2 linked regions of the Arabidopsis thaliana genome follow. The protein of the gene in region 1 interacts with the protein of each later gene in a pairwise test. Each region holds a gene or a part of one and is shown in the gene's direction. Other genes may lie near its edges.

The links.
Region 2: the proteins of AT3G19895 (region 1) and AT1G50575 interact in a two-hybrid assay, tested with the Arabidopsis thaliana proteins (one large-scale study listed by BioGRID).

What each region holds. Positions count from the first base shown.
Region 1 is NC_003074.8:6,916,462-6,923,444, reverse strand, and holds AT3G19895 (RING/U-box superfamily protein), read left to right. Parts: upstream 1-1,844; 5' UTR 1,845-2,233; coding exon 2,234-2,655; intron 2,656-2,811; coding exon 2,812-2,928; intron 2,929-3,028; coding exon 3,029-3,221; intron 3,222-3,473; coding exon 3,474-3,640; intron 3,641-3,764; coding exon 3,765-3,939; intron 3,940-4,314; coding exon 4,315-4,376; intron 4,377-4,762; coding exon 4,763-4,844; intron 4,845-4,947; coding exon 4,948-5,005; intron 5,006-5,144; coding exon 5,145-5,251; intron 5,252-5,424; coding exon 5,425-5,508; intron 5,509-5,601; coding exon 5,602-5,672; intron 5,673-5,788; coding exon 5,789-5,915; 3' UTR 5,916-6,203; downstream 6,204-6,983. Other genes in the region: AT3G19900 (uncharacterized protein), read left to right, coding at 250-384, 528-593.
Region 2 is NC_003070.9:18,727,960-18,732,208, reverse strand, and holds AT1G50575 (Putative lysine decarboxylase family protein), read left to right. Parts: upstream 1-1,710; 5' UTR 1,711-1,912; coding exon 1,913-2,128; intron 2,129-2,485; coding exon 2,486-2,614; intron 2,615-2,687; coding exon 2,688-2,872; intron 2,873-2,956; coding exon 2,957-3,347; 3' UTR 3,348-3,575; downstream 3,576-4,249. Other genes in the region: AT1G50580 (UDP-Glycosyltransferase superfamily protein), read right to left, coding at 32-1,378.

The sequences.
Region 1 (6,983 bases):
CCTTTGCTGTATACTTGATCACAGAAGCCTAATGATATGATAGTTCAATTGATTTTAGTGTACTTGTTTGGACTTTAGATAATTATGATCTTCGTTTTCCATATCATTCAGATTTGGTATGAGAATCTTTGCCACATAGAAAGATGAAGTGTATATCCATATTTTGTTGGTATAGTTCTTGCTTTTGCAAGTCAATCCTTGTAAGCTAATTCACCTTTATATATTTCTTGCTTCTTCTTCAACGCCTAGAGGTCTTTTCCTCTAACCGAAGAAGAATATATACTTAGACTTGACGATGTAGCCAACATGTTGAAATGCTGGGGAGCAGTCTCACATATCCGTAGCAGCCTAGCAAAGTCGAAGGAGCGACCTCGGATAGGGAAGGTGAGATCAACCTAAAACAGTAACCTTAAAATTCAGACATATATTAGCTAGATCACCTAGGTCGATTAGAGACCACTTTGATACTTTAACATCGTTTTTTCTAGTTTAAAAATCGACATGGATGGTTTCTCCTCTTCATGCAGGCTGTCAGCATTTTCATAGACATGGATTCGACAGGGGGAAGAGCAAATGAATGGATTTACAAGTAAAAATCGACCGGTTTGCAGCTGCTAAACCAAGAAATCAAAAGGTTTTGTCTCTACGTTTATCGTCATCAATTCATTTTGAAGGCTCTTCAGTGATGGTTGCCTGCAGAAACCGAGGTTTTTGCTATATTTGATGTCCAAATCAGGTAGTATATATGTACATGTGTGTATTAAGTAGACACAAATCTTTACTTGAACTCTCTGTGTAAAATATCTCCATGTGTTGAAATTCAATCATCTTTGTGAATCTTCCTCTCTTTGTGATCTGTAAAAGTATTAGTTTTGGCATTCATGTCAGTTTGGGGACCTTTGAGTTGGCTTTGCCCCCAAAACAAAAGTAGCTTTGGGACCATTCCTTGATTAATTTCATGGGTTTGTTTACTTAGTTTTGTTTCAAGTTATATGATTTTTATTAGACATATGATAATCAAATAAGTTATAGTTTCCGGTTTCTAGTTGAGCAAGTCCTGCTCCAATATTATAAGAGCACCTTAAAATACATATTTTTTAGTTGGAAACTTAAACCAACATCATGTTGGAGCATCGTGATACTTTTTTATACAACACATAATGATAATGCTCATCTTCATCATCATTATCATCACACTCATCCACCTCCACGTCCTACATCATCATTAATTTGAGGTTATTTTTCTTTTCTCATAAAATAAGAAAAAGATCATATCATCATTATCATAATTACTATTATTGATGATGTTGTCACATCACGATACACATCATGACTCACATCATCAACGTATGCTTCTTAACTTCATCATGAAAATTCAAAAGCATCCCTCTCTTCTCATCACCACAACCACTAACAAGTAAAACATCCTCATCATCTTTACCATCCCCCATACATCCTCAATTCCTCATTCATCATCACCCCTATATCCCCTTTTTTAGTCAATATATACTACATTAAGTATTGATTATATTATTGCCCACACATTAATGCTACTAAACTAAAAAGATTTGTATTAAGATAACGTTTTATAATCGCAACTTACATCACAATTTTTCAAATTTAATCTTTCAATTAAGTTTTGACCAATTAATTAAATTTAATTTCTTACAATACATACAATTATGTGTAGTGACAATTTTCCTGGCTACATCGCATGTTTTATTTAATTGCGTTCTGTAGTAAATTTTTAAAAAAATGTAAATTAACTAAAAGTAAAATTATTATTATTTTGCCACCAAGTAATAATTTATTACCAGAATACATCAAATTAATTAGTGAATCATTTCCAATTCGAATATGTAGGTAGTTTGACCAAAAAGGTAAAATTACAAAGCCTTTAACACAAACTCAAAACCAGAGTCTACTACATTAGAAATTTTCACAATTACAATTCTCCGGCGAATCCAACGTTTCCGGCACAATTCTCCACTATATTGACGGCGATATACCCTTATACGGCGTTTCGTGGTTACAATTTGTAACCTAACTACTCATCGTCTACCCAATTCAAACCAGTCAGGTTTCCGTACAGTAGTAAAATCACAATTCCTCTCTGTAACAACGATCTCAACGACTTCAACGAGACACGTTACTATTCCAATCCATTTTTCCGACGCCGGCAACTGAATCAGAATCGGAAAACTCTAGAGACATATGGTTGATTGGAGTGGCGATGCACCGGCAGGGCTCGTCTCCGATTACGCCTTCAAACTATAACGCCGCCGTTTCAATTGCTTCTGATGTACCTACTGGTTTAACCAAGTCTCCTTTATCTCACGCGATTCCAGTTTCGCCGATTTCTGCTGCTTACCCTTCCGGTGATCCTATTTTGATGATGTCTGGGACTCCTCTCGCTAGGGTTCGATTATCTGAAATTTTGCCTTATGAAGGAGCTCCTTCTCCGGTGTATGCAAAAGCTGTGGAGGCTTTGTCTGTGTCTTTGATGAGGTATAATGCGTCTGTGATCGAGATAGGGAGTGAAGACACTGCACTGATGCGATGTGGCCTTGAAGCTGCTCGTTTGTATTTTAGAACTAGAAGCCTTACTGTTTCTGGTAAAGGCAATCGTGGCCTCTCTATGTATAGAGCCGGAAGGTTAGCTCTTTTGCGACATTTTTGTTCTCTGGTTTTGGTTTTTGTAGAAAGAATTGGTTTTGCGTTTTTGAATTTGAGAAATTGGTTTGATTTTAGTTACTATAGCAGTTCTTGATCTATACGATGTGTAGTGAGTGATTTTTGTCTTGTGAACAGGTCTGTTGAAGATTTAGATTCTTCACCTCCATGCATGGCTGAGATTTTCAGGTGTTTGGGTAAAGTAGCACGAGCTGCTTTATCTGCAATAGCAAGGCATCTACGTTTAAGAAGCGAGTAGGATGGTTATGATGCTTATTCTCTGTTTTTACTAATACTTGTTGTGTCTCTTTACTTTTATTAACTTATACAATGAGCGTATCTCCTTTTTTTGCAGTGTTTTTAACCATATGCTTGATGACTTTCCACTAGCTCCGAACGAGGTTTCCTCCTCGGTGCTACTGGCTTCCTATGCTCATGCATCGATACAAAATGGAAAACATGCTTCTGGAGGTGGGAACCTATCTGCTAAGATTGAAGTTGAGAAGGGTTTGTTGACACTGTTCTGCTCAGATGGCACTGGCATTCAGGTAACCTCTATTGAACTTTTTGTGTGTAGAAGGTTACATATATGCTTTTATTTTAGCTAAGAAACTTGATGGGAAAACGTGTCATATTTTATCCTTTCGAGGGACGAAATAGTTGTGTAAGAATACTATCTATGAGTTAGACATGATCAGCCATAATCCTGAGTTTCCATTTTGCTTGATTCATTACACTATTCCATTTAGTACATTTGGCTTTTATTTTTTTGTTCCTTCTGAAAGTTCTTCTTTCCTTAGGTATGTGACCCAAATGGTCGTTGGTACACAGCAGATAATGGATGTGGGGTGGGTGATCTCTTACTGATTACCGGCAAAGCGCTTAGTCATGCTACTGCAGGTCTCCGTCCAGCTGCCTCTTACAGAACTACTACCGATCATTTGTCTGCCACTGACACTCGAGGAAGGTATGTTTTTAAGACGAAATAAGCTTTTCCTCAACAACTTAATGACAGCTTTTCCTTAACAAACCTTATGACATGAATGTATGCATACATATTTGATTAAAACTTTAACTCTTTCCACTTGCAGGGCATCATTAGCTTTTAGGCTTATGCCGAAAAGTAATGCTATATTAGATTGTTCCCCAATAGAAGCAGCCGGCCATGTAATTCCTCAAAGCTATGTGCCAGTATCTGTTAGTCAGTTTATGGATAACCTCTTAGCCGAGAATGACACTCTAGTTAATCCGCCTGTGAAAACCAATGTAAGCTCACCCTTTATTACAGTAGTAAAACTAGCTGTCTAGATTGTAGAATTACATTTAAACGTATAAAACATTGATATCTGTAGTACCCAAATCTGCCTTTTTACTTGACATTTGCAGCAGAAATTGTATTGAGGAACGAGTTTTAAAAGTCATATGTCTTTCCTATTCTTTCAGATCATGCATTTTTTTCTTTTAGATACTCTCAATCGAGATTTTAATAAGTGGACGTGCTACTTATATTACTCTTTTTGAGGATCTCACTATTTTGGATCTGTTTTATGATTGGCACTACCTCAATACTATAATGATATAAGTTTCTCTGTTTGATGTTAACTGCTCAGAGCACGAGGTCTTATGAATTGTTGATGTCAGGTTCCACGGGATGATGTTTGCAAAGAGCCTTCCTTAAGAAGTGTTCTCTCGGATCCAATTTCGTGAGTACCATTTTTTTCCTTAGTGTATAATATTATCTATGACGAATAAATCTCCTCTCTTAGTATGGTTAGTTGGATGAATTGCTAAATCTGATCACGTAAAAAGTACCCTAGCTAGGTTTTCTTGAGTGCTGGCAAGCCCTTTTTCTAAACTTCTCCTCAAGTAGTTTTCTATTCTGATTTAGCAAGTGGTCCAAAGCTAATCATCCGTGCCAGATAGTAGACATACACTGAAGACATTATTTAGTCATATTTTGTTACTAGCTCCATGAGCTGTATAATATGTTCAATTGTTTTCCACCTTTTTATTCTGTTGCTGTAATTTTGCGAAGGCAGTGCAGTGAAAAAAACGTTCTAATTTGTCTGTTGCAAACTTTTGATGTTAGTGGTGCTTTTCTTGAAGATGCAATGGTTGTCTCTTGTGGACATTCATTTGGTGGCCTTATGCTTAGAAGAGTCCTTGAAATGGTTGGTACTAGTTTACTTCGATTCTATTAATATGCTAGTCTCATGTGATGGTTCTTCCTATATACCCAAGAATATTTAGTAACCACAATGATCTTATGCACAGTCTAGATGTACGCTCTGCAATACAGAGATCGAGTCTGGGTCTCTGGTTCCTAACCATGGTAATTCCGATAAAGTTCATTATCTTCTTATCTGTGCTCCTCAATAAATAATTTGATCCACGATAGTCTTTTCGGGTTTCACATTGACAAACAGTCCTAACCGAGTAATCATATTTCTTTGCTAATGTCGAACACATAGCACTTAGAGCTGCCGCTTCAGCTATCAAGCAACAGGATGATAAACGACTTTTCCACAACGCAGCCATGAGAAGGCGTAGAAAAGAAATGAGTGATCAAATGGATGTGGTGAGATGATCTGACTCTGCTCTACATATTGCTTTTGTGGGTGGTTTCCGATTACATAGTTACCATCTCCAAACTTATCAGCCTGCATCATCATCTGTTTTCTGGTTAGCTTAAGCTTATGTTGTTGATGAAGATCTGATACAAGTTACAACTTGATCCCAAATTCTCTACAGGAAAATGGAGATCCAGCTACGGATGATGGTATGCATCGAGTGGTGCATTATCCATTTGCTGTAAATGAGAAAGTTCTTATCAAGGTAGGCCATTACATTTCATTTTGGTTCTGATGCATTTTTTCCAGCAGATAAAATTTGGTTCTAGCTTGTTATGGAACACATTTCCAATTGCAGGGAAACCGGCGAACTCCAGAAAAGTTTGTTGGAAAAGAAGCAATCGTGACATCTCAGTGTCTCAATGGCTGGTAAGTATTACTCTATGATATATAAGAGCTGAAAACAAAACTATACGTGATAGGTGAAGCGAGTTGTTGAGTTCAATTCTCAAACTAATCCATTCTCATATATTTTTCAATAAAAGGTATCTATTAAAGATTGTCGAAAGCGGAGACAATGTACGGCTGCAATACCGATCCCTAAAAAAGATGGTGAACGATGACAGAGGAGGAGGCCTACAGGCTCAACCGGTTGAGAGCAATAGCTTGTAGAATGTAATCATATTTAACCCTTTTCTTTTCTTCTTATTCTGTATCTCTAGAGCTAGAGAGAAAAGAAAAGATAATGTGGTTTGGGGTTTTGAGATTCTGCATAAATTTAAATCGTTTGGTTAGAAAAAGAAAGTAGTGGAAGACTATTATTGTAAACTATATTAGCCTCCTAAGTATTAGAGGTTTTGTACAGAACAAAATGTTAGAAAAGAAAAAACAACTGTGTTACTCTTGTTGATGTGCTTCCTACAGAGCAAATTGCTTTCCAATACGATACGGAATTTTGCATTTTACTAATTTAGTAACAAAAAGATTCCACTTTTTTTATATGTAAATGTGTATTCAATCAAGTTGATATATCTAAAGTCTTTCGTTAAGATGGCTTATTGTTATGTGTCACAACGGACAACACGTGGCTTGTGGTTTGGAACCTGCATATGGGAATAGCCATGTGAATCAAACCTAGAAAGTAGAAACTGACAGACCAGACAAGTGTGATCTTGGATACGACTACAACATGCTCATATTTATGGATCAACGGAAGTTAATTAATTTAGTTTCAGTTCATTTTCCTTGGAGGTTAATGAACAACACAAACTCAGGGTTTCTCGTCCTAGATTTTGCGAAGCCATTAACAAACAAACGTTAAAACAGTCTTGATTTTAGGACATGCTTAATATGTCTTTTAAAGGAACCTATAAACAAAGATTAGACCATGAAAAATATGAATTTCAGTTCATGCACCAAGACTTTCACCAATCATAATCATAGGAGCCTTAGATGTGCCAAACAACTAATTGTATGAAAATACCTTGTTTTTACTTGAATTTCCATTTTATTAGTTTTTAATTTAATTTTCTTCTGCAATGCCATTTTGCGAGAGGATCAGACAGAAATCGCATATTTTGTAAAGATATAAATTTGTATATCAAATAAATTAGAGTACTTAAGTTTATACAAAAGAGAAGACATAGGTGTGGTTACAGAAGTAAATGTGATTGAGTATATAGGATTAAATTAAGGGATTTGAATAACGATAGATGATATGAGTATCCTTGACATATTTAG
Region 2 (4,249 bases), on another chromosome or scaffold:
ACATTATTTTGGAACATTCAAAGTATTCAGTTCAAGAAAATTTGGTGTTGTTGACTTCAATCTCCAATGCTTCTACAAACTTATCAGCATAACCACTTAACAATCCAGGACTAACTAAAGTCTCTTTCAATTTCTTATGATTCCTCTTCACTAAGTTCCCAATCTCACTATCTATATCCATCACAGATTTAACAGTATCTCTCAAGTCCTCTTTCGAGAACCATCCGGAATCTTCTCTCTGCACTTTCACAGAGACTTCGAGTTCTTCAGTCAACAATCTTGTGATGAGAACTTGATCTGCCAATTGTGGAATAAACACAATCTGACAATCACTAACCAAAGACTCCCACATTGAACCAAAGCCACAATGGTTCACAAAGCAACCTACTGATGGATGAGACAATATCAAAGGTTGTTCCAACCATCCTTCCCAAACGATTCCATGCTTTTTAACCCGTTCTTCGAATCCTTTTGGTAACGCTTCTTGAACCGTTGGTGAGCCTTTTGGCGGCATAACCGATATTAAAAACGGTAGACCCATTAGCTCCATTCCTAAACAGAATTCTTGAAATTGATCCTTCTCGAAAAAGAATTGAGTGCCAAACGCACAAAACACTACCGACCCTGGTTCAAATCCGTTTAACCAGTGATTCCATCGGTCTTCTAGAAATTTACCACTCTTATTTTGCGGTTCAGGGAGCATTGGACCGGTTAAGAGAAGTTTCTTTTGACATTCTTTTTCGATGAAACCGCATAGCTTACCTTCAAGTTCCACGCAGGTCCTTATGGAAACGACGTCACAGTTCTTAAGGCCTTTGGTGATCAGACCGAAAAGCTCATGGGAATTCGCAAAGAGAGAACAGACGTTAGCTTCATGTCCACGTAACGCCACTTTGGATAAAGGATAATCCGGCGGAGGAAACCCTAATTCAGCCCTAGGTGCAAGAACCATAGCTACACAAGCTGCCGATATGATCTGGTAATTGACACTCTTTATTCCAAACTCTTCTGCCATTTCTGGAACCCAATGAACAAAATCGAAAAAGATTAGATCTGGTTTCAAAGCACGGACCTTTGCTTCGATCTGATCGCGTAAGAGATCCATGGCAACGAATATGGGTTTCTTAGTTGAGTTTGGGAGATCCGAGGCTGTCTCGGCGCCAAAAGGGAGACCATCGACAGGAGGGAGAGTAAGAGGCTCAAAGACAATGCTGTCTGGGAACAGATTGAGAGGTTGGAGCTGCTTATGAGCTTTCTTGGGGAGGAAGAAAGTGACCCTATGACCTTTCTCAGCTAGTTTGTTGGCTAAATGAAGATATGGAATCATATGACCAAAACCAAACCATGGATACATAAAAGCATGAAATTTTGATCCCATTTCTTCAAGAGAGCCAAATTGTTGACCCTTTTTTTTTCTTTACTCAAGTTATAGAAGAATGGTTGCTTTTCTTTGTGTAGTTGATATTAAAAGAATGTGTCTTAAATATTAAGTGGGATTATTTAAGCTGTGTTTAGGTGCTAATTGCTTGATTGCATGTGCCACCATGTGTTGAATGTATAAAGCTTGCAAGTTGCAACAACAAATCTTTAAAATATAGATCAGTGTTTTACTGTTAACTTGCATTATAAATTTTACTGTTAACTTGCATTATAAATTTTACTGAAATAATCAAATCTCAATGCTCAAAATCCAATTTTAACAGTTGGAATAGGAAATCCACGTGTAATGATTCTATTAGTTAATGATAAAAGCCCTATGCTTTGGAGTGGGGCATAGTCATGGAGCTACCGGTGAAGTTGAACGGAGATAAAAATATAATCTTTTTGTCTGTCAAGATCTTAAATTGACAATTTGAGAGAGCCTGAGAGTAGTTTTGTTGGGTACCCAGTTGAAGGAAGTGAGAATCAGAAAATGGGGGTTTCGATGTTGGATTCCTCATGGAGTTTCCGATTATCCTCGAAGATGTCTCCTTCACCAACACAAAAACTCGCTAGCTCTTTGACAGAAAGAGATCCAATTTCTCTGAATTTGAGGTTTGATCATTCCATTAGGGCATATTCAGCTCGAGCTCTAAAGTGCAGGTCTGTTAAGTCTGAGGATTTTGTTGAGAGAAGTAGCCCATTTGAGGTAACATACTAAAATCTCTGCTTCGAATCTGAGTTAGAATTTCATTAAATTGGTTCTCATTTCTAGTCTTTGCAATAGAATTTCATGAACAAGTTCATCACAGCAGAAAGAGTTTGACTTTGCTTAGATAGCCAAGTCCTTAGAGAATTAGAAACACAAGAACAAGCGTAAATTCTGATATCTCCTGTTAAAGTCTTGGCCTTTTTTCTTGTTCAATTGAATGAAGAAGTAAACTTCACTTTATCTTTAATCTTCTTTGGAGATTTCGGTTTTTAAGTACTGATAGTTTCCCCTTGAAAGACCATTTCGATAGAGGTTATTCTCAACTTATTCTGTTGAATTCTCATTGTTTGAAAGGTTAAGAAAGAGCTTGAGATTTGCTTCGACCTCGTACATAGGCTCGGGAGAGGCATTGTGTACTTAGGTTCCGCCAGAATCCCACCAAACCATTCACATTATCTGCAAGCACAAGAGTTGAGCAGAGAAGTAAGTAAGACCCTTAACACTCCACAAGAGCTTAGTTTAGATATAGATTTCTCAGAGTTGTGTATTTTATCAGGCAGCAACTCTGTTGGACTGTACTACATGGTCTGGTGCTGGACCAGGGCTTATGGATGCTGTGACTGAAGGTGCTTTGGAAGCTGAGAAACCGGTCGGTGGCATCAAAATAGAAAAAGAAGCCGGTGAATGGACCGCATCGAAGTTTCATCCATATCTCCCTCCTCAGAATTACCATACTTGCAGGTAAACATAGCCACACACCATTGGTTATTACTTACTGTGCTTGCACAAGAATGAGTGATCCCTAAAATGCAAAATCCATGTTAGGTTTTTCTCGGCGAGAAAGCATGGATTAGTAGATGCTGTGATTAGAAACAATGTATCTGAGAAGACGGCGATAATTGCACTTCCAGGTGGCATTGGCACGCTCGATGAGATGTTTGAGATTTTGGCATTGATTCAGCTCGAAAGGATTGGATCTGCATTGCCGGTTCCATTCATTGTGATGAATTATGATGCTTTCTATTCAAAGCTGCTTGAATTCATTGAGACTTGTGAAAACTTGGGAACTGTTTCTAAAGGAGAAGTTTCTGCACTGTGGAAGGTATGCAACAACAACTTTGAAGCTTTGACATACTTAGCTGAATTCTATGACTTGCCTGACGGTTCTGCAAAGCTGGAAACTGAACTTAGAAAAACCACTCCCACTCGTGGATGATGAGTTTCGTAATTTTTAACTGTAAGAGATCATATTTTTGACCATGAGCAACCAATTTGAAGCTACTCATGTGGCACATGTAGCATATAGATTCGTGTGTTTGATACATACACCAATCAGATTTGTTGTTATCACTTTCAATCTTATGTTTCTTCTCTTAGCTTCTCGTGTTATCCTTCTACTTCACTGAACTTATGGTAATGGGAATGTTAAAGCTAGTGAAGACAACAATGACATCGAAGTATGATTATCATATTCATGTGAATGGGGTTTTAAACCAGTTTATAACCAAGCAAGACCAAACAACTTTCTGATACAAGAACCAAACCAAACCAATCAGAATTGTGGTCCATCTTCCTCCTCTAGTGCCAAAAACAAAAAAGTTAAAAAAAAAAGATGCAAGATTAAGATCTTTTTAAAGTAAGTTTCTTTAGAACCTTTAGAGCCGTTGTGGTATAGAAACTGAATACAAACAAAAATAAAAACTTGAGTAAAAGAGAGAGGCGTCTGTAATCCGTAGATCGTGCCTACTTAGAAAAGTCTATTTCACACTGAATATTAAACAATAACGCAATAATTGTTCCTCTTTCACTTTCTACATCCTTTCTTCTTCTTCCTCTTCTCTTCCTTCTCCGTTGCAAAGCTCAAGAAAAACTAAAGGAATCCAAGTGGTAAACCTCAGCGCAAATTTCAAGAAGAAGAAAAGCAGAGAAAAGTTTTCTTCTTTTTGACCTTTCTTCCCCTAAATTAAAGGTTAACAGAGCCTCAATTTCGTCTTTTTCTTATAACGAGAACCCTTTACCATAAAAATCTCAACTTTATCCCTTATTCTTATCTGCAAAATTCGTTCTCGTCCCTTGGATTATGGGTTTTTTTGTTCCTCGAGAAAGTTGATTGCTTTC